Linked DNA regions of Xenopus tropicalis. The protein of the gene in region 1 interacts with the protein of each later gene in a pairwise test. Links are inferred from orthologs where the notes say so. Each region holds a gene or a part of one and is shown in the gene's direction. Other genes may lie near its edges. The genes, in order: nme7, fkbp6, shtn1, tchp and fosl1.

Region 1 (4,356 bases):
GCACTAAGATCTACATTGTCTTTAATTTAGTTACTCTTATATTTTATAGTCCACTCTAAACAGCCTGCAGAATTGTGCCTGCCACAAAAGAAATGCCTATGTTGGCACAAATTTATGGTATCTTTTAATATGAGCTATTAGAAAATCCAGAGAGTTGTCCCTGCTATAGAGAGTGCCTGACACCTTTTTCTTGCTTTTTGTAACTGGATATTAACCCAGACAATAAAAGAGGGAGGGAAAGCTTTTCAGGAGCCAGCCTGAGAGACAGTGGCTAAAATTGCAGCTGATTACAGTAATAAATTCTCAAAAGCTTGCAGAAATAGAAAATGCTAATACATTGTTTTACCTAAAGCAAATGCATTCTAAAATATATTTATATTTTCTTTATTGCAGAACATTAGCTTTGATAAAACCAGATGCTGTAACAAAAATGGGTTCAATTATTGAAGCCATACTGGACTCAGGGTTTGTAATCTCAAAGGCTAAAATGGTTTTGCTCTTAAGGTAAATATTATGATAAAATTGATGCAGTTGTGCTGTAATTTCTTTGCATATTTTGAAATGAATATGTTGGAACTTTATAAATTATGGGTAATAAGTTAATAATTAGTTAAAGGGGTTGTTCACGGAACAAGTCGCCGGTGGAAAGGCCAGTGCATTGCTTCGGCTTTCCAGAGTCGCGTGAAGTTGCCTGCAGGAGGAAACTTTGTGCAACTTTGGAAGCCAAAGCAATGCGTAGGCCTCTCCAGCGGAGACTCCTGTTGTCGCTGGTGGAAAGGCATTTCGGAGCAGGTAGTCGCCACAGTAGCAGAGATCTATTGCGGGCGACTAACTCTGTGGGCCATCAGCCTTGAATTAACTTTTAATAGGATCTAGAGAGTGCTATTCCAAAACAGTTTACAATTGGTCTTCATTTTTTATTTGTGGGTTTTTAATTATTTAGCCTGTTGTTCAGCATCTTTCTTGAGTCAGAAGAGGAAGGCAAATAATTTAAAAACTATAAAAAAAAACCAAAAAACAAAGGCCGATTTAAACGTTGCTAAGAACAGTTCATTCTATAGCATACTAAAAGTTAACCTGAAGAATGAAGCACCCAGAGGGGACCAGATTTGGGTAAATTATGGAAGTCTTTTTCTAAAATGTCCATGTTTTCAAATCAGAAAGGTAGGTAGGACAGTTGTATCTGCCAGCCTATGTCCACCAATGGAGAAATACCTGAATCTGAGAACACTGCCTCCCTTTGACAGCACCACTGTAGATGTGTCCCATGACAAGAGGCGGCATGGAAAGTTTTAGTTAGAAACCAGTACATATTAAATTAGCCTCAGCTGGTAGTGAATGACAGCTATTGCCCTATTGTTTGTCTCATAAAGTTAAATTAGTATTTTTTTATCCACTTTCTTAAATCAGATCAGCCACAATGTTAAATACCAGTGTTTGTTTTTCCACCTTAATCAGCATTTATACCTCTCTTTGATGTGCTTTACTTTAATGGTGTCATTAAGCTCTAGTAAATTATATTAGCTTGCGGTTATTTCTCAGTGTGGTTCATATCAATTCTGCAAATCCACCCCCATTATATTAGCTGCCTAGAACTGGAAATGGGCTGAAAGAAACTGTCATAAGTTAAAGTACACAATACAGAGGGTAAGGCTGGACAAAGTGAATAAATTGTGTGTGTGTGTTTATACATATATATAAATAAAAATACCTCACACTGTCCGCACTCCCTTTAATTGTCCAAGATTCAAAGATAACGGCGTGGATAACGTACGTACGTACGTACGTACGTACGTACGTACGTACGTACGTACTTACATACACACAGTTTCTTTTCTTTACTTTGCTGATTTCACTTAAACTAGCTTAGATGTGTTATTTGGCCATGGGTGCCAAATCTTACTCATTCATCTGTATAGTGTATCCCCTAATGTAAAATATAAGACAAAATTTGCCAGGGGTAAAGAGGAAAAGAAATGCAGCTGTAACATCTCTTTATTCTTTTTTACAGAACTGAAGCAATGGACTTTTATAATGAACATCATTCAAAATCATTTTTTAGGTATGGTTTTAAAGTTGATCTACAGAAGGTAAAGTGGGATTAAAATTCAGTTGCGGTACACTGTGGACAATTTTGTCACCATATTTGACATATAAAGTCCCATTTACGACTGTGAGTGCAGTGTGCAATTTTTAGCTGCAATTTGCCATTTTTTTACCCACAACTTCAATGTCATTGTGGCTTGTCTTAAAGGAACAGTAACACCAAAAAATGAAAGTGTATAAAAGTAACTAAAATATAATGTGCTGCTGCCCTGCACTGGTAAAAGTTGTGTGTTTACTTCAGAAAGTCTACTATAATTTTATATAAATAAGGTGCTATATAGCCATGGGGGCAGCCATTCAAAGGAGAAAAGGCACAGGCACATAGCAGATAACAGATAAAACACTATTGTATTCTACAGAGCTTATCTGTTATCTGCTATGTAACCTGTGCCTTTCTCCTTTTTTCCAGCTTGAATGGCTGCCCCCGTGGCTACACAGCAGCTTATTATATAAATTATAGTAGTGTTACTGTAGCAAACACACCAGTTTTACCAGTGCAGGGCAACAGTACATTATATTTTTATTACTTTAAAGCTCTTTTATTTTTTAGTGTTACTGTTCCTTTAACCACAGTAGTATCTGATACAACAAAATTGAAGCAAGTGCAAAATTTCATTGTGGGGATTGCATTATTCAAATGGCATTACTGTGTCTTTTGCAAGTGTCTCTACATTTGTTGCACCTATTGACGCAGCCTGCTATGGGAACCTTGGAATAACTCAGGCTGTAGCTCAAGTTCCTTTTGTAAATATGCACACCTGTGAACAACCTGCTTATGGAAAAATATATATGCTTTGACATAGTTTTAGAGATTCTCTTTTATTATTAGGGAAGATTAAGGTATCCTAACTGGATGTTCATGTCCCTGTTTTGTTTGGATTTTTTTTATTTTGTTTACACCCCCTGGTGTTAGTCCACTTGCCTTTGCTCACTTAACCATGTGTCCTAGTGCCTATTTATAAGGCAATTATCATACAACCTGAGCATTCTCAAATTTGCAGTTTATCACATGCTTTCCCCTTCAACTGTACCCTTACACTTACTCTGGCCCACAGCTAATCCAACTTTGGCACACTATTTCAACTTGCTGCCTTTAAAGGGCATGTAAAACCCACACACAAAAATGTAATCAGTGAACAGCCTCTGAAATCTTTCAATACCTGCCACTCTGGTTGTCCAGAGGTTAATAGGAAGGCTGCAACATACCCTTAATCACTTAGATTTCCTTCTCCTCCTGAAACCCACTTGGGCCCCCTCCCATCAGGAATTTGCTTTGGCTATTGGCTTGTGGGCATGCTCAGTTGTTCTAAACTCAGATTACTAAACACATCCTTCAGACTAGCAGCCAGTGAAGAGATGGCATTGCTGGTTTCCATATAAACTCAGCTCTAGCTGTCTGCTTCTCTTTTTTTCTCCTAACCTCCTCTCCTGAGCTCAGCTGAATGCTGAATAAGGGTATGTGTGTGTATGCTGTTTGCAGATATAAATGTATCTGATTATGCATCAGAGGAAAAATGGCCACCGTGTGAAAGCTGCTATTTGCTTTAGGAAAATGTGATGGTGATGGAGGGGGATATATGCAGTACAAATAATGCCATTATGGTGGGGGTGACATGCCCAACTGATATACCTTGTAGGCAAATGTAGGCTTTACATGCCTTTAAAGATGCCTCCAGATCAGCCAAAAACAGTTGAGAAGGTCATGGACAGGCCCTCACTTGCTCCAATTGAGATTCATGCCTGTACTGCTACCAAAGAAGTTCTACTCACTAAACAACCTCTGTAATCCTAATTTCCACCCACCTTCTAATCCTTTACTGGCTTCATATAACACCACACCCACCACTAGTACCACAAATACAAAACAGATAACATTGGCCTCAGCATTCCATTACACAAGAAATTCTATATACCTACAGTATATCAGCACAGATATATCACTTTTCATTCATTTTCTGCTGATATATAATGTCAACACTCCTGAATTCAACCCCTATTCCAGTATTTTAAATCCTCATACACAAGTACTAATTTCTTTTATTCTCGGAAATCCTTTGTTGTTATTGTTTCCATCTTAACCTCTAGTTACCTTTTAGCCATTACTCAATTTTGCCTACAACATTGTGTACATTGCCAGGTCCAAATGTTAGGCAATGAGAAGGCATTTTTGGGAGATTTGTTGTCCGCAGTTGCAAAGATTTACTGCAGGCGACAAAACTTCTTATCTGCCAGGGTGCTTATGGGGAAAGA
Region 2 (5,057 bases), about 13 Mb from region 1:
AATGTAAAGCAAAAAATTTTAATTGTAGTAAAATCCCATGAAGTGCTCTGTGGCAAAGCATTCTCTGGTTTAGGCAGGATAGGAATGTGTGAATACATTGTTGTCCAGCATAACTAATGACACAATATTTATCAGCTGCCTTAAAAATCCTAGTATGGCTGTGAGTGGCTGATAAGGGAAACACGAACTGTGCCACATTTCTTAGATAATTAGTTAGAAAATTGACAGATGTGAGTGGTGTGGGAGAAGTGCCAGCTACCCCTGCAGTCTCCTGGAACCTCAGATGTCTAGGGCCTGTGGGGCAGTCTGTAAGCGACATACTGGAATGGCTGCTAGAATGCGGGCCTAGCCTAGCGTTTACCATTTCCTTATTCAAATGTAGCGCCTTCTCTATAACAATTAACATACAAAGCTATATGGCCTCTTATGCCTCTAAAGCCTTCATGAACTTGATGATTTTTGTGGTAAACTTTTTATTTTAAATGACACTGTTTACATAGCAAATAATTCACTCTGTCATTTAAAATTTTATTTTTAAACCAACATTTAATTAGTTGTAATATTGGTGTGTAGGTGCCATCTCAGTGCATTGTGCCTGAGTCTGAGCTTTCTGAAGGAGCCAGCGCTACATATTAGAACTGCTTTCAGATAACCTATTGTTTCTCCTGCTCCCATGCAACTAGAGTCTTTCAGAAGAAGCCAGCGCTACACATTAGAACTGCTTTCAGGTAACCTATTGTTTCTCCTACTCCCATGTAACTGGAGAACTTGGATTTCTTACTATTGAGTGCTATTCTGATACCTACTGGGAGCTGCCATCTTGCTCCCTTCCCATTGTTCTGCTGACCAGCTGCTAGGAGGGGGGGATATCACTCCAACTTACAGCACAGCAGTATAGTGTGGCTGAAGTTTATCAGAGCACAGGTCACATGGCTGTGGTACCCTGGGAAATGAAGAATATGGCTAGCCCCATGTGAAATTTCAAAATTAAATATAAACAATCTGTTTTTGAAAAACGGATTCCAATGCAGGATTCTGCTGGAGAAGCTCTATTAACTAATGTGTTTTGAAAAAAAACATGTTTTCCCATGACAGTATTCCTTTAATAAAATCCAGCTCAAGGTAAAGTACCTGCTAGCTAGATGTAAGGGGGTGGGGGCTTTGAAGGGTATATTTATATCCTCATATTAATATGCACTTCATATAAATATGCTTACACACAAACTGACTGCCCTTATGAATAGAGCACTGTATTGATGGGGTACACTCAGGTCTCTCTGCTACTTGTGTTGGTACTGTAATTATATGCTACAGCAGTGCAATTGCAAACGCCATAGCGGCTGCTGTGAGATGCCATAGACAGTGGGGGGGGGGGGTTGTTTGGACCCCTGTGATCTTGATATTTCAAGGCCTATTTTCATTTTAACCTGGGTAGAAAAAAATGTTTACTTTAGCACAAGCTTTATAGCACTTTAGGACAACAATTTCGCCTGGACTTTCACTGATTTACTTCCTAAATGATCTCCCATGCCCCACAGGCAAAGGCTTTCTGTTTGCCCATCCATGGCATTTCACTGGTACTTTCTATTTCCACTCCACCTACTAACAGTTTCTCAAAACATAACCAACTTCATCTTCCAGGCCAAGTGTGGCTCTCCATGGAATCCTATTACTGCGCGGCCACAACTAGCTCTCCTGCCCCCAATCATCACTTTGTAGGACCTCCCTTCAGAGCCGCTAACATACAGCTCACGTTGATTGGTGAGACGCCTGTCACATGACCAGGCCCGCCCAAAGAGCAAGTCTGAGAAAAGACCGCGGGGGAAGAAACATGATGGTGAGAGCGGCGGTGTTACCGAGTGTGTGGGACACGGGCTGTGGGGATGTGTGGCCGTGTAAAATCCCCACAATATATGCTTAGGAAAGCGCACAGAACAAGTTTGTCCATTAGGAACAATCGCATTTATAAACACAGCTTTCCTTATGGAAATGGAAACTTAGCACCTGGTGCAGGAGGTTAATGCCGGCAGTACCTGCGCCTGTTTGTCAGTGATTGGTACTTGAGGATAACATGTCTGCAAGAATTTATAGAATGTACATTTACAAGAATGTAAAATTTGATTTTGAACATAGGAATGAAGTTTGCCCTTGAATAAGTAAAAGGCTTTCAGAGTTATTAATCTACAAGTTTTCCAGAAACCACTTCCAGTGTAATTAGTAAATGTAATCAAAGTTTTAGTAAGTGCCCTAGTTACCCAGTGTGTCTCTTTATATAATTATATTACACATTAGATGCACCCCAATTCTACATTTAGGGTTCCCACATTATGATGTACTTGGAGCCTAGGAGAAAGCAAGTATGGGGTTCCTTATCCAGAGCCCATTATTAAGAAATGTCAGTATTATGGAAAGACCATCTTTCATAGATTCCATTTTAAACAAGTTTTTTTTTTTTTTTTTTAATCCTTTTTGTCTGTAATAATAATACAGTGCCTTGAACTTGATCCCAACTTGGGATCCCTATTGTAGGTGAACAATCCTGTTGGGTTTATTTAATGTTTAAGCTTTCTGGATAACAGGTCCCATTCCTGTATAATGTTCTGTGGTTGCTCGTACGCTGCCTGTGACTAGTTGTTAAAGCATAATGTGCATGAGTGAGAGCGGCCATTGTATAATGTACTGGGCTAACCAGTAGAAAGTAGTGTTTCTGTATATTGTGCTGGTGTTTTAGCCTGGTGTTGTCTATGAAATTAGTATATGTAAATATGGATTGGAGGCATTTTTCACCCATTTGCCATGCCCAAGAATTTCCCTATAATTGTTATAGGGAGCAGTATGTAAGTGTGTCTCATATTTTCTGCAATACCTTTTAGAGTTGTAGAGGAATTGTGGAACAAAAGATGCTTCATATAAATTCACATTAAGCCACTGGACACAGACAGCCCTGAATAAAATAGTACTGAATGGTGATGTTGGCACAGCTAGCATATCTAATGTTATACCTATTTGCCTATTAAATTGATTTCTGATCGCGCTTTTTAAGATGACAATATTTGGCAAGAGTCGCTTGTTTGGTGAGTTTGCCAGGCTCCTTGGGACAAACGATCAGGTTGCAATCACAGGAATAGGACCGTTGAAGCAAGGACCCCAATGCAGTCCCTGTTTCAAAGGAAAATTCAAACCTGCTCGATTGACACCTGGGCAATTTTCGCCACCTTTAGTGTCTCTGACATTTTAAACAGGGACTTGTCAAATATTTGACAATAAGACCTGCATCTTTAGGCCATCATATTTATACATTACGCTAATGGCACACAGGGTTGTGCAGAAATTCATTTCTCATTCATACAAGTGGTAAAAAATTCCCTTCCTTTTCCCTGTGTCTCAGCCCCTGATGGGATATTACATTGTAAAGGGAACATTTCCATTCTTCTAGCATGTTGCAAGTGGAAGTTATCCGTGCACCTTTCCAAATAACAATCTGGTTGCTGGCCTGGTAATCAAAAAGCAGATTGGGGCTGGAGGATATATTTTTTTTTTTTTAATTTGCTAATTTTTATGGCAATCTCCTATTTATCATTCTTTCTGACATTTGCACATGCCTGTCTGCTCTGGCCAGTGACAGCTTTAATATCCAACTGGAGAGAGAACAAACAAAAAAAGGTGAACTTTACCATTTTTTCATTGCATTTAATTTTTGTTTGTTCACCAAGCACCTACAGATGTATATCTTTCTGTCTAAGACCTAAGTCCTGCCGCACATGGAGTGTATGATCCACCAGCAGAGAAGTTTAAAATCGTGGCTTTTCAGTCTGTTATTTAATGAAATGAAATTGGTCACCTCGGCCACCTTTGTCACCATCTGGAAACCATCAGTGGAGAATCCGCCAAGTGTGCCGTAGGCCAAAAACCATTGTGTACTGAACAGTTTACCTCTTGTACTCTAAAGCCCAATTTCACCTTCAGTGGCTGCACCCATGGTTACACAGCCGTATATATAAGTGGAGTAGAGCTTTTGAAGCAAAAGCAGGAATTCATTGATCTGATTTGACCTTAAACCTTTTAAATAAAAAGTTCATGTACTGTAGATTATTGTTTTCAGGGGTATGTCTTGTTACTGATTTGTTATTCTGTAAAGCAGAACCATCTTTTACTGACCGGTGTGCTTTCATTGTAGTCTGTATTTCATCAGCTGGCACAGCAAATGGAAGATGTATCTGGAGACAGAGGGGTGCTGAAAGAAGTGATTCGGCCCGGAAAAGGAGGGAAGGTTCCCTGTGATGCAACAGTAATACGTAAAAAGCTCCTGCAGTACCATATTTACATATAGAAACTGGCAAGCCCTTGGACATATTGCTATATAATAGATATATGCATTATACTATGATATTGGTTGTTTCTGTTAAGGACGGTAAAGACCCTTTACAGTACAATTTCAATGAGCAGGACTTGTGCTGAACATACTTTTTTCCTATTATTTTAATAACAAAAATGTTTTTTATGATCTTTTAGATAATCAGATTCCCAGTGCACAGATAATCCCTCTGCATAATGGACATTTGTTTATCTGTGGTATGAGAATCTAATTATCTGTGATGTACACAATGTCATTTATCTCTGATGGCCCTGGCACTACCATAAAATGTCATCAATATTTAAAAATAAATGAGTCGCCATGGAACTTTATAAATGGTGTGTTTTTAGCATATATTTGTGTGTATTGACTAATGTAATGTGTAGCTGGTTAAGGAGTCCTGGGTTCTTAATGCAGCACTTGATGTTTTTTCAGTCAAGTACTCTGGTTACTTGGAACATGCTGACAAACCATTTGACACAAGTTGCTACAGACGTCACCCCAAAATGATGAAGTTAGGTGAAGGTAAGAAGAATACACACACAGTCTGTTGTACTTACTGACACATACATCTGTATGCTCCTTAAACTGAAGAGTCACAAGGTTAACCATTTGTCAGCATAACCCCTCTCTGATGTAGCCATTTATGTTTAGGAGTAGGTAACTTCTTTACATAGGTTACCATTGTTCCAAGGGCTGGGAG
Region 3 (4,356 bases), on another chromosome or scaffold:
TTTTTATCTAACCTTCACCCAGCAGGGCATTTTCCCAACCTCATCCATGCGGGCATTTTCTAAAGTTCATACGCGCGGAGGGCAGGCATTTCCCAAACCTACACCTCAGCAGGGCATTTTCTAACCTCACCCAGCGAGGGCATTTCCGCAACCTCACACCAGCAGGGCATTTCAACCTCACCGCAGCAGGGCATTTCTAACCTCAGCGGCGGCAAGCAGGGCATTTCTAACCTCACCGCAGGCATTTCCCGAACCGCGGGGCGGGGTGTTTGTGTCAGCAGGGCATTTTCCTAACCGTGCTACCCAGCAAGGGCGGATATTTCTAACCTCACCAGCAGGAGGCGATGTTCCCGAACCTGAGCCTCGAGCAGGGCCATATTTCTAACCTCCGTACAGCAACGGCATTTCCAACCGGGTCACTCCCAGCAGGGCATAATTTCTAAACCTCACCGCACGCAGGGCATTCTTCTAACCATCACCCAGGCACCGGGGCATTTACTCTCAACTCTCACCCTACAGGTGCATTTTCCTAACCTCGGACCCAGCAAGGGCATTTTTCCTAACCTCACCCCAGCAGGGCATTTTCTAAACTCAACCCAGCAGTGCGCCAATTTTCTTAACCTCACCCAGCAGGCAATTTTTTCTACTCACCCAAGCAGGCATTTCCTAACCTCCCCCAGCAGGGCATTTTCTAACCTCACCCAAGCAGGACATTTCCCAACCTCGACCCAGCAGGGCAATTTTCTAAACCCCCCAGCAGGGCATTTCCCAACCTCATACTCAGTCCAGGGACATTTCCAAGCGCGCGCCAAGCAGGGGCATTTTTCTAACCTCACCCTGCAGCAGGGGGGTCTGGTGCTAATTTCCCAAGTTCCCTCTGGGTTGGGTGAGGGGTGGTTGGTCGCCAAGGTTATATTATATTGAGTGTCTTTGGGCGTATCACCGTCGAGGGGGGGGGGTGTTTGTGCTCTGGGTATGGGATGAGGGGGGCTGTAGGTGCCAGCAGTCACTATTTTTATGCCTTTTATTTATCTTATCACCCAGCAGGGGGCATTTTCTAACCTCACCGCAGCAGGGCATTTTCTAACCTCCCCAGCAGGGCATTTTCCTAACCTTCACCACAGCAGGGCATTTCCTCAACCTCACCCAGCAGGGCATTTTCTAACCTTCCGCCTCAGCAGGGCATTTCGCAACCTCGCCCACAGGGCATTTTCTACACCTCCCCCAGCAGGGCATTTCCCAACCTCACCCAGCGAGGGCATTTTTCTAACCTCACCCACAGGGCATTCCAACCTCAACCAGCAGGCTGCATGTTTCTAGACCCTGTTCTCTGTAGGCTAGCTGCGAGTGTATTTGTTGCTAATCTCAACCCACAGCGGGCATTTGCGTAACTCAGCCGCAGGCGAGCGGGTGCGATTATGTGCTGTTCTAACCTACGCCCGACAGTCAAGGGATTTCTAAACCCGCCTCCAGCAGGGCATTTCCAACCTCACTAACCAGGACTCAATAGGCAAAAGTTTATTTTCATCCCTTGAGTTAATGCCCTTATTTTTACTTTGTACTTTAGTCACTTCAGTAGCCACTGCCTAGAGTTGCACAATCTGTTATCCACAAATACCCCCAATCATTCTCAGTTAAGGATTCCCCCCAACTCGCTCCATGTAGAGTGGTATAGGGAGCTGGTGGAGATCGTATTTATGTGCTTTTATCTGGGATTTTCACTACCTAAAGGGGCAGAACTTTGCACTTGTCCCAATATGAACTCATTTCCCAGTTTTTCCAATTTAGATCCAAGTTTCCAGCAGCGAGAAGGTGGGAGCATTCGGCGTGTGGAAATTGTAGCAGTTTTTGTGAGTCTCATACGGTTCTTGTTTTCAACCTTCAGTAGATAAAAGGCAATTAAATTAGCCTGGCAAGATTTTTTACACATAAAACCATGTGACACAAACTAGAATTGTGATTTGCAATGTATTCAAGTACCCTATCCCTTATTACCCCTTCCAAAAGCTTTCCTACTACTGATGTCAGACTAACAGGCCTATAGTTTTCAGGCTGAGAACAGGATCCCTCTTTGACTAATGGCACCAATTCGCCAATAACTGTGCCCTGTCCTGCCATCTCAGGATGAACACGCTGTCCCTTTAAGAGAAGGATCAGAGGTGTCTCCTGGAAGCAGGACCCTGACAGGTTTTCCATGTTGGCATTTGGCTGCCACCAGTCCGTGGGCAGATGGAACAGGGAGATCACTTGTCAGGGTTGGGAGGGCCAAGCTCTGGGAATGTGAGACATTCTCTCCCACTCTCCCAATGTGCCGGAACGGAAATGTGCCAACGGGGAGAGCGGCACGGGCACTTTGCACCCCCAGTTCCTCGCGCTGCGCTCTCAATGTTTTATTTCTGGTTTGAAAACTTCTCACCTGATCGACCCTAAAGGTTCAACTTTGCTTGGTGCCGAGTGCTCTTTCATCCCATGGAAAGTGCCCAAAAATTTGGGAGGGGGATTTTATTCCCCAGTGTCGTGGATTTGTTTTTTGTGTTCTTCAGTCTCTCAATTTGTTCTGTTCCATCAGTTAAACAAAGAGAACAAGACCCTGAAACGGATTAGTATGCTGTGTATGGCCAAACTGGGCCCCGACGTCATTACTAAGGAGATCAACTTAGATGAAGAAGAACCATCGGCCGAAGAAGCAGAAACTTCTGTTTGCTCCTCACTGAGCTGCCAACAGAGAATAAAAGGTAGGAATATAGCGGGGTGAACTGTTACCAGTTATTGAGGGGTAGCTGGTAGTCGTCTTTATATAATGTGTAAAACCGGCAGTTTGTTATCCGGCTAAAGGGGCTCAGCCTGAAGGCCAGTATAGGGGGGATTTGGGGTGAGTGCTTATTGTTGCCCGGGTATCCCCTGGATACTATAGCGGGGTGAACTGTTACCCCAATTTTCTATATATCCTGTAACCTTGTTATGGCTAAGGGGGCCCAGCCTGAAGGGCCAGTATAGGGGGGATTGGTGAGTGCTTATTTTGTGCCCTGGGTACTGGGCCTGGAAACTATACCTGAGGCAGGGTGACCTGTGTACCTGGGGGGCTGTTTGTGTCTGGGCCAATGTTCTATTATATCTGGTAACCTTGTTTATGGGTCTAAGGGGGCCCAGCCTGAGGCCAGTTAGGGGGGATTTGGGTGAGTGGCGTTAGTTGTGCCCTGGAGTACCATCCTGGAAGCATAATGCAGGGTGACTGTTACATGCACGGCCAATGTGGTCTATAAGTATTCTGTAACCTGTGTGTATTTATAGGGGGGCTAGCCGGGGCCTACCAGCCTGAAGGCCGTTAGGGGGGATTTGGGTGAAGATGCTATCATTGATGTGGTTAACCCGCCTGGAACTATAGCGGGGTGACTGTTACCTTATTTTTTTCATTGGGTGGGGGGTTGTTTGTTCTCTCCGGCTCCAATGAATTTTCTATTAATTTTTGTAACCTTGTTATGGGCTAAGGGGCCCAGCCTGAAGGCCAATTGGGGGGGGAATTTGGGGTGAGTGCTTATTTTCCCTGGGTACCCCTGGAACTATAGCGGGGTGACTGTTACCCCAATGTTTCTATATATCTGTAACCTTGTTATGGGCTAAGGGGGCCCAGCCTGAAGGCCAGTTAGGGGGGATTTGGGGTGAGTGCTTATTTGTGCCCTGGGTACCCCTGGAACTATAACGGGGTGACTGTTACCCCAATGTTTCTATATATCTGTAACCTTGGTTATGGGCTAAGGGGGCCCAGCCTGAAGGCCAGTTAGGGGGGGATTTGGGGTGAGTGCTTATTTGTGCCCTGGGTACCCCTGGAACTATAGCAGGGTGACTGTTACCCCAATGTTTCTATATATCTGTAACCTTGTTATGGGCTAAGGGGGCCCAGCCTGAAGGCCAGTTAGGGGGGATTTTGGGGTGAGGGCTTATTTGTGCCCTGGGTACCCCTGGAACTATAGCGGGGTGACTGTTTACCCCAATGTTACTATATATCTGTAACCTTGTTATGGGCTAAGGGGGCCCAGCCTGAGGCCAGTTAGGGGGGGATTTGGGTGAGTGTTATTTGTGCCCTGGGTACCCCTGGAACTATAGCAGGGTGACTGTTACCCCAATGTTTCTATATATCTGTAACCTTGTTATGGGCTAAGGGGGGCCAGCCTGAAGGCCAGTTACGGGGGGATTTTGGGGTGAGTGCTTATTTGTGCCCTGGTACCCCTGGAACTATAGCAGGGTGACTGTTACCCCAATGTTTCTATATATCTGTAACCTTGTTTATGGGCTAAGGGGCCCAGCCTGAAGGCCAGTTAGGGGGGATTTTGGGGTGAGTGCTTATTTGTGCCCTGG
Region 4 (4,356 bases), on another chromosome or scaffold:
CCAGCTTTGTTGGCTTCTACAAAAACTGCTCTAATATGATGGGAGGGGTGGGGGAAGGCATGTAATTATTTATTTATTTTTTCCCCACCTGCCACTTCTGGGGTGAACACTGGGAGTAAGGCATACAGTATGAGTAAATGTCAGCCATGACATCATTCTCAGTGACACCTAAACCTTCTATAGTTAGTTATTAGTCCACTTGCAAGAGAGCCGCACTGGTCATTGAACAGTTAGTAATTTATTAGGGAGTAGCAGTCAGGTATAAGGGAGGATCTGCCTCGCCCCATACCTGTGAGTCAGTACTGCAATGTCATACTAAATAATTTAAGTATTAGTTTGTTACATGATAGAAAGAGTGGAATAATTGAGCTATAGTAGAATGTATATTTAATAAGGAACTGATAATTTAATTTCATTCATTTCAAGCTGGCAGAGGAATTGTTATATGAGCAGTGGAAAAAGAACAATGTAAAGTTGCGAGAGGTAAGTTAAAAGAAAATAGTAACAGTAAAAGTAACAGTTTTAAACATCATATGGTATTGGCACCCATGATCTTAAGATCCAAGGATGTGACATTTTGCATGCTATCATCTATTTTAAATCACTGGTTTTCCATGGTTGCTGGAATTGTTTATTGTTCAGGTCTATAGGCATTTTATAACCCTTTTTTAGTAACTTATTAATACTTATTTTTATTTACCCCTTTTTAAATATAATCTTTATTATAAATGAGATTTTCTTGCATGCAGTGTTTAAAAACAGAAGCCAGAATGTTAAAGGTAAACTTCCTCTTCAGGTTTTAAAAACCTGAGATACTTCCTTTTTCAGAATAAATTAATCCTGCATACCCTAAACTCCTGTAGTAGAATATCCTGTGAGTGGGTCTTAATATTGAGGTTGATGGACAGGGTAGGGATCCTGTGTGACTGTGACATTTATTTTTTATTCAGTACTGAAGAATACCTGTACAGCAATTATGAGCTATATATGCGTTGACAATTGTTTTAATCATTTTCTCATAGGTTGAATCCAGTCTGCTTAAAAAGCATGTGGTTGATGCTTGGGGTGAGCAGATCACAGTGAAAAACCAGGTAAGATAACCATATGACCTATTATTAAGTTGATGGCACACATTTTGTACAAGACTAGAAAAAAAAAAAAGGAATACAGCTACAATGCTAGGAATCTGATCTGTTCTTTTTATATAATCACTGCACATATGACACGTGTAAGTCGCCATCTCCCAAAATTGTGTAACACTGGGAGAAGCTCACAAAAGTGAAGAAATAGTTTTTGGAGTAAAAGTTGCATTAAAACTAGGGTAAATACAATCTGCCTATTCACAAACAGAAATAAACCTAAATTCAGACTTCTCAGAGAAGAAAAGAGTAGCTTATTTCCTGCATTAGGTGACAAAACATGTTTTAACATCACATTTGCATAATTTTCTAGTTTTTTATTTATGAATAAAGTACATATATTGTATAAACCTGAAGGGCGAAGACACACTGAGCAGCTACTTGTCTTGGCAACTAAATGGTAGAAATACCCTGCCATAGACAATACTGAGAATTGCCTCTGCTAAAACACACGTAGGGACAATTATCAGTAAATGATCAGCATTGTCTGTTTCTGTAGCTGCTATTGGTAGCTCTGTGTGTCTTCATCCTAAAGAGGAACTAAAGCTTCCCTGGCAATTTTTTAGTTTAAACACCAGTACACAGCTCCTTCCCAAATCATGTCACTGACACTTGCCCCATTGCATGTCCAGAACTACAGAGTTGCTTAGCAGTGTTGGCCACCACCTTTAGCTGTGTCACTTCTGTTCCCAATGTCCATCTTGGCGACCACCAAGCAGCGCTTGCACACCGACAGTCAAACTGTGATATAGGGCTACTGTATATTATCCTAGTTGATATCCATTATAGGAATGGAATTAATATGGCCAAAGATGGCATTGTGGCTCTGCAGTTCTGGATGTGCAGTGGCCCAGTTGATTTGGTGCAAGTTTTACTGATGTGGTTGGGAAGGGAGAATGGAGGATCTGTGCATTGGGCACAAAAATGAAAAAAAATTGCCACAAGGTTTTAGCTCCCTTTTAACAGGAGATAAAACCTAATGAGAATCTCTTGTCTGAAAGGCACATTATTACAAGGCAAATGTGCAGCTAAGAGTCACCTAATGGCAGACTGACAGGTTTAGGAAAAGCTTAAAGGAACAGTAACACCAAAAAATGAAAGTGTATAAAAATAATTACGACATTATGTACTGTTGCCCTGTGCTGGTACAGCTCGTGTGTTTGCCTCAGAAAGACTACTATAGTTTATATAAACAAAGCTGCTGTGTAGCCATGGGGGCAGCCATTCAAAGGAGAAAAGGCACAGGCACGTAGCAGATAACAGATAAAGCCCCATTATATTCTACAGAGCTTATCTGTTATCTGCTATGTAACCTGTGCCTTTTTTCCAGGTTGAATGGCTGCCCCCATGGCTACACAGCAGCTTATTTATATTAGCTATAGTACTGTTACTTTAGCAAATACACAACTTTACCTGTGCAGGGTAACAGTACATTATATTTTAAATACTTTAATACACTTTCATTTTTGGCGTTACTGTTCCTTTAAGTCTGATTCAGAAAAATGTTTTTAAAATGTCATACAAAAGACAAAATCTGGAAACTGTCTTTTTCAAAAACGAATGGTTTTATTTTTTCCCAATACCACTTTTGTGAATTTTCCCCCGTGTGTTATATCAGTTACCCATGGTAGTATCCCTTGTAGCACTTATAACAACTAGTGTAATCAATTTAGTTACACTCCCATAAAATATAAATAAGATCTGAACTGTGGCACTTTCCATATGATTATATGATTCTTGCTGGTACAACATTTTGTGTACATTAAAAAAAAAAATGAAAATATGATTTTATTATTATAAATAATAATTATTATTATTCTTTTTATTTCCTTTAAAGTTTAAATATCAACACAGAGAAGCATCTTTTTGCTTTAGGATTTCATAAGGATTTCACCATATTTGCTCCAAATTGCCATTCAGTGTAGTGTTAAATAGAAATAAATTTCTGTTTATGACATCCGGGGATGTTTTTTTCTATAGGCAAGCAATGCCATCTGACTTATGCCTATTTATTATTTATCCAAAAAAAACTCAGAAAAAACTTGTAAATATGTATGTAAATTAGAAAACATACAATAAACAACAATTTCCCAAACAGTCACAGTTGCTTTCTACTTTTAAGATGGTGTATATATAACAATGCAGGCCTTGTGACCTTTTCAGGAAAAAGAAGAGGAAGACGTGGAGAAAAAGAGATTTGAAAATGAATATGAAATTACTAGAAGGGAAGCTATAGAAAGGATGAAAAGGGATAAAGAGAAACGGCAAAAGCAGGAGGAGGAGCTTGCCGAAGTTTTGAGACAGCAAATGGAAGAGCTTAAGCTAAAGAATTTAGAGGTGAGGGCAGTAGGCATGGCATATATTACTTCACATTTTAGTTCCATATTTGTTTTGCAATTTTTGAGGTTCCAGATTTCACAGCCAAGAAACACCTAAAGGAAATCTAGTTACCTGGGGAAACATAAAAACTCCTTGCCTTGCTGTGGCTGGGAATGTACTTCTGAAATGTATAGATATATGTCCACACATTCATTCTACTGCCCAGGGCTATACTACTTGGCCTGATACCCAACCAGCTCGTCTGCAACACTCCTCCTTTTCCACCCGCCATGTCCTTATCATCCTCTTCGGTAGCCACTGCTGACATGTATTCCCACATCCCCCACCACCACCTTCTCCTCTGCCGCACTGCCTTAGTTGCTGCTGACGTTGCTTCTCCATATACCGAACTGTCCCTCATAGTTACTGCACCCTAGGCACTTGTTTTTCATGCCTACCCCTAGTTTTGGCCCTGAAGATTTGACTGCCACAATGCTCTCAGGGAGAAGTTCTGCTGTCGAATTACACTTCCCTCAAAATCCCACCTGATTTTGCTTCCTAAGACAAAATACTCTGCTTATAGCAGATGCCTCTTATGTAGTTAACTGTCCAGAAGAAACTCATTTGTGGGGAGTGCTTACCTGCTATTGGTAAGTAGGAAGTAAGATTGCTATTTGAAATTCCAATACAAGAAGTTATCTAGGTGTCCTATGATGGCATGACTTTGCATGAATTTATATGCTTCCCTTAGAACCCAGTTCTGGCGTATAGTGGTAATTCAGTAATGCCATCCCTATGTAATGTCAGGACTTGGTAATTTGGACTACAGGTGTTCTTTCAATCAGGACTTGGTAATTTAGCTATCTCCCATGGTTCCCTTGCTTCCTTTTTGAAACGC
Region 5 (4,943 bases), on another chromosome or scaffold:
TTTTGTTTTTCCCATCTATAAGTCTCTTGCACATAGTTTTACTGCATGTGTCATGCATGTCTTGTTCTGACGCTTTAGGACAAGTCACCTGTATAAATTCATATGGCCCCAAAACAGCTCTTTTCATGCAGACTTTACCGCCCAATGCAGCCAATTCATGCTGCCATAAAAGGATTAGATTTGGCTAACCAGGACAAGTCCTGATACAGACAGAAAATGTGAAGCTATTTTAGCCTACGCCTTTGTTTCATCAGTAATAACTCCATTCGTTTCTGTTACTGTCAGAGGCAACATTGAGGTAGGTGCTCATACATTTTAAGATGTACCTAAGAATTTTAGCTGCAGGTAACATATGTTTGTGACTGAGTCAATTCTGCTGATGACATGCTTGGTACAGAATGTCCTAAACAGTCTACACCCTCCTTTGAAAATGTACTTTATCAAGCATCATCGCTGTATAAAATGTAAATGGCATCTGTGAGCAGTTCTTTAACATGGCAAGCAGGTCTTGTTACTCAGCATTAATGGTGGCTAAATTATACTCATTACACATTAATTATTAGGCTAAAGAGGATGGTATTAAATTCAATGGTTGTTTCTGAAATCCTGACATGCAGGAAGTATAGACGTTTGGTGCAGTACATAGTTACATAGTTACATAGGGTTGAAAAAAGACCATTGTCCATCAAGTTCAACCCATCCGAGTAAACCCAGCACACAACCTATACTAACCAATCTATACACTCACATACATAAACTATATATACAACCAGTAATACTAACTGTAGATATTAGTATCACAATAGCCTTGGATATTCTGCTTGTTCAAAAACTCATCCAGGCCCCTCTTAAAGGCATTAACAGAGTCTGCCATTACCACATCACTTTTTAGATTATACAGGGATGATCTATATTTTGATACCCAGTACAGGCAAGAATCCAGCTCTCATTGCCATAGTAAGCCACTTTAGTATAGAGTTTAGAAAAAAAAACTCAAGATGTCTGAGGTTTGGATTGTAGTTTATAAAAATAAATATATTTTTTTTATTGGTTTTCCACTGACAGCCTAGCGGCAGTTTTTGTTGTTTTTTTTACATTTTGGCACTCAGGTTCTAGTGTCCGGTTTTGAACAATGTACAATTATTATTGGTTGCAGTGATCTAGCTGAAACCAGAATATAGTTTATCCTTCAAAAATACCACTCTGTTCTGTGGGGAAAACTACAATTTAATCTGGAGATTGTTTTGTCACTCACTTTCCTTTCCTAAAGACTGGAATTTTAAGCTTCAGTTTATATAAAACTTGAGAGAGAGAATTGCTGCAGCACTTTATTCTGACAAGTATCTGCATACTATAAATTCATTTTCAGTCTAATATCAACTGTTTTTAAACTGCACCCCTGTTAATTCTGATAACTCATCCAGTAAATCAATGGAATTATATATATCTGTGTCTACTAGTTAATCATAACCATGTGAACACTCATAATAACGCACACATTTTTTTTTTTTCAAATAAGTATCAACCAAATATGCATATAAATCAAATTTACCTTTAACTTCCTAAATTCCTTTACAGAAGTATCCAGTTCACACATCCTCGGGTCAATTTATCCCAACATTGAATGCTATCACATCAAGTCAGGACCTTAACTGGATGATCCAACCAAGTGTACGCCCCCTGAATTTACCACCATACCAAAGCCCTCGGCATGGGGTAATCCGTAACATGGGAGGAGTCTTGAGTATGGGGCGAAGGAGAAATGGAGAACATGTAAGTATGCACATTATCGACTTATTAATAATACTTTGATTTACTTTACTGTTGTCCCTTTTAAATAAGCTGAGCATACATGTCATTTAAAATTATTATGAATTGAAATAATAAAATTGATAGAAAACATAATACTTTTTACCCAACCAAAATATAAGCCTTAAAAGTTAACTGTTTTCTTTCCGAGGCTAAAACAATAGTATTTTGCCAATTATATTATGAGGCTGAGAGAACATGATCACTACTTAAATCCTAATTACACATGCAGCGGAAACAGTTATTAGGCGACTCACCAACAGTAGAATGAGTCAGGTTGGGAAAGAGAGCCTAGTGGTGCGTGCCAAACCATGGTTTGAAGAGCGGGATAAACATTAATGCCTGACTCATAGGGTCACAGTCACTGCCAATCCCTTCATTCATGAGCATGGCAGGCAGGCAGTATTCATTCATGCCACCCCCTTAGACACATAATAAAGGTATTTTGTGGGAAGTGGCAGTGCCAAACCAGCTCCCTTACACACATATAACAACACTTCCATAAATTGGGTAACAGATTTATTATCTCTTTTTTTTTTTTCTCACAGCTGTCACCAGAGGAAGAGGAGCGAAGACGAGTGAGACGTGAGCGGAACAAGGTAGCAGCAGCAAAATGCCGTAATCGTCGCAAGGAGCTAACAGATTACCTGCAGGCAGTAAGTTAAATAGGGTAGTTGAATTACTGCAGTGATCCCCAACCAGTGGCTCGTGAGCAACATGTTGCTCACCAACCCCTTTGATGTTGCTCCCAGTGGCCTCAAAGTTGGTGCCCATTTTTAAATTTCTGACTTGAAGGCATGTTTTGGAGGCATAAATACCATGTGTACTGATAAACAGTGCCTCTAGTATTCTTCCAGTCCACATTGGGCTACGAAATTATCAATCTGAGTCCTTATTGGTCACCTACTAGGAAAGTTTTTGTGCTTGTGTTGCTCCCCAACCTTTTTTCATTGAAATGCTGCTCATGGATAAAAAAAAAGAGGGGATCCCTGAATTACTGGTCTAATTGGGGGTTAAAGTGACAGAAGTGGGCATAATATACAATACTTGATATCATTTTTACTTTAAATAGGAGACAGACAAACTTGAAGAAGAGAAGTCATCCCTCCAGAAAGAAATTGCTGAGCTGCAGAAGCAGAAGGATAAGCTGGAACTCATCCTTGAGGCTCACCAGCCTATATGCAAGTTTCCTGACTCCCATCACAACATGCAGCAAGTGGACTCCTCCAGGCTGGTTAAGAAGGAACCACATGAAGAGTCACCCAGGGGACCTAAAGTCAACCTTCCCAGGATAGAGCTGAGCGACACAATCCTAGAGCCAGAGGCCCTTCACACCCCAACACTCATGAAGACACCATCCATTACTCCTTTTACGCCAAATTTGGTATTCACTTATCCTGGTCCACAAGAATCATGTTCTACAGCGCACCGAAGGCTGAGCAGAAGCAGCAGCAGTGGTAGTAGTGGAGAGCAAAGTCCATGTTCTCTAAGTTCTAACAGCCTACTGACTCTTTAGAAAAAAGAAAAAATATATTTTTTACTGTGTGTGCTTCTGGGTCTGGATTCACCTGTTAGAAATCTACGCCAACCCAAAAGTTTTATAGACACTCTATATAGAATTTTATTCACTTTCTTAATAAGGCATGCTATCACTTACCTCATACTTCCTCTCTTAAGAAACCACATTACTTCCCAATTAATGATTCTAGTCAGATGCGTGACCTGTCATTATACGGTTACAAGTAAAGTGTGTGTATATGACTGCCTGACCTTAAATACGGTCCAGGGTAAAGTCAGCGGCTGAGCCGGTGTTAAATTTAGTGGCATTTTTTAGTAGGTTCCTATATAAAAGCAGCAGTAGAGCAGGTTCTCTCTGTATTTATTAAAAAGATATTTTTATATGATTTATGCTTGACATAGAAAACGTGCATTTTGATAATAGCACATTAATAAAAACCTGTAAGAAAATATCTCCTTTGTTTTTTCTGTAACAAACTTCATCAAGAGATTCCTCTGTGTGATTGCCTTAATCCAAAAATATGCATTGCCATCACAATGTCATATTTTATTGAAATTTATTTTCCAGTTCTTTATTGGGAGAGAGAAATGTTTTGAGTAGAAGCTATTTTAGCCTACGCCCTTATTTATCCATAACAGAAACTTAGTTTTGTCTCCCCATCCACTGTTTGAGTCTGTGAGGAGTTAAACCAAGCATTTCTGGTCAAGGCCAAAGTCACACAGAGCATCTGCTTCACTCCGCCTGCACTTTGTAGGCAGGTGGAGATTCAGCAGCTCCATGTAACTGCATTGACAGGCACAGCTTCCACCTTAGTGCACTTACACAGAGCCCAAAAATGGCTGCTTTCATGTCTTTCGGGTGGATCTCCGCTCTGTGTAGCTGTACTCAGGCCAAAAGCAGTGCAGCTACACAGAGCTGTGGAAGAGAGTGGATTCGCTTCTCTCTGTCTGCCTACAAAATGCAGGCAGAGAGAAGTGGAGCCAATGCTCTGTCGGACTACAGTATAAGGGAAATTGATAGTAAGTAACCCCTAAAATGAAAATTAATGTTTCCCTTAAAGAGTGTATATTTTTATCAAATATACTAAATCTAAATAGTGCCATCAAACCATAGGCCCTTGGGCTTCATAGACTTCATTGTATTGCGTTTTATCTTTTTTTTTTAATGCACTTTTTGCAGTTTTGTTTTAGCAGATATTTCATTGGCTCCATTAGAGTCATGCAACCACCCTGATAAATACAGCATTGTCTGTGTGTAGTAGAGCTGCATTTAATATGGATAGGCACTCCTTTTATCCCCAACATTTCCCCTAAATTTTGCATCATTTAGATGTGAGTGGTGACATACACAGGCCTCAATGAGGCCCTGTTCTTAGTGCCTGCCAAAGCCTAAATCAGCACGAAAAGGGTGCAGATTTGCAGGCCCTTATTTTTGGGTAGGCCAAAAATTGGGGGTATGGGGGGGACCATGTTGCTCACTTGGGACCTTTGCCACTGGGGACCAGGGAGGAGATTTCTACAGCTGTTTGAATCTTCCTTTCAGCCAGTCCCAGTGGAAACCATCAATAGATATTCAGTCAGAGAGGTTGTGAATGGCGGGGAAGGGCTATGGGTGG

Evidence for each region.
Region 2: the proteins of nme7 (region 1) and fkbp6 interact in binary tests that used the Homo sapiens proteins (3 or more experiments, as listed by UniProt). The two-hybrid records come from large-scale screens. The link is inferred for Xenopus tropicalis from reciprocal best matches to the Homo sapiens genes NME7 and FKBP6.
Region 3: the proteins of nme7 (region 1) and shtn1 interact in binary tests that used the Homo sapiens proteins (3 or more experiments, as listed by UniProt). The two-hybrid records come from large-scale screens. The link is inferred for Xenopus tropicalis from reciprocal best matches to the Homo sapiens genes NME7 and SHTN1.
Region 4: the proteins of nme7 (region 1) and tchp interact in binary tests that used the Homo sapiens proteins (3 or more experiments, as listed by UniProt). The two-hybrid records come from large-scale screens. The link is inferred for Xenopus tropicalis from reciprocal best matches to the Homo sapiens genes NME7 and TCHP.
Region 5: the proteins of nme7 (region 1) and fosl1 interact in binary tests that used the Homo sapiens proteins (3 or more experiments, as listed by UniProt). The two-hybrid records come from large-scale screens. The link is inferred for Xenopus tropicalis from reciprocal best matches to the Homo sapiens genes NME7 and FOSL1.

What each region holds. Positions count from the first base shown.
Region 1 is NC_030678.2:55,292,345-55,296,700, reverse strand, and holds part of nme7 (nucleoside diphosphate kinase 7), read left to right. Parts: intron 1-393; coding exon 394-504; intron 505-2,011; coding exon 2,012-2,062; intron 2,063-4,356. UniProt on the Homo sapiens protein: Possesses an intrinsic kinase activity. Displays 3'-5' exonuclease activity with a preference for single-stranded DNA. Does not seem to have nucleoside diphosphate kinase activity.
Region 2 is NC_030678.2:41,855,074-41,860,130, reverse strand, and holds the start of fkbp6 (inactive peptidyl-prolyl cis-trans isomerase FKBP6), read left to right. Parts: upstream 1-1,850; 5' UTR 1,851-1,938; intron 1,939-4,177; coding exon of another isoform or gene 4,178-4,204; coding exon 4,205-4,295; intron 4,296-4,789; coding exon 4,790-4,879; intron 4,880-5,057. UniProt on the Homo sapiens protein: Has an essential role in spermatogenesis. It is required to repress transposable elements and prevent their mobilization, which is essential for the germline integrity.
Region 3 is NC_030683.2:5,248,695-5,253,050, forward strand, and holds part of shtn1 (shootin-1), read left to right. Parts: intron 1-2,569; coding exon 2,570-2,735; intron 2,736-4,356. UniProt on the Homo sapiens protein: Involved in the generation of internal asymmetric signals required for neuronal polarization and neurite outgrowth.
Region 4 is NC_030677.2:147,324,010-147,328,365, forward strand, and holds part of tchp (trichoplein keratin filament-binding protein), read left to right. Parts: intron 1-426; coding exon 427-483; intron 484-1,022; coding exon 1,023-1,091; intron 1,092-3,302; coding exon 3,303-3,476; intron 3,477-4,356. UniProt on the Homo sapiens protein: Tumor suppressor which has the ability to inhibit cell growth and be pro-apoptotic during cell stress. Inhibits cell growth in bladder and prostate cancer cells by a down-regulation of HSPB1 by inhibiting its phosphorylation.
Region 5 is NC_030680.2:37,719,700-37,724,642, forward strand, and holds the end of fosl1 (fos-related antigen 1), read left to right. Parts: intron 1-1,578; coding exon 1,579-1,773; intron 1,774-2,357; coding exon 2,358-2,465; intron 2,466-2,881; coding exon 2,882-3,325; 3' UTR 3,326-3,779; downstream 3,780-4,943.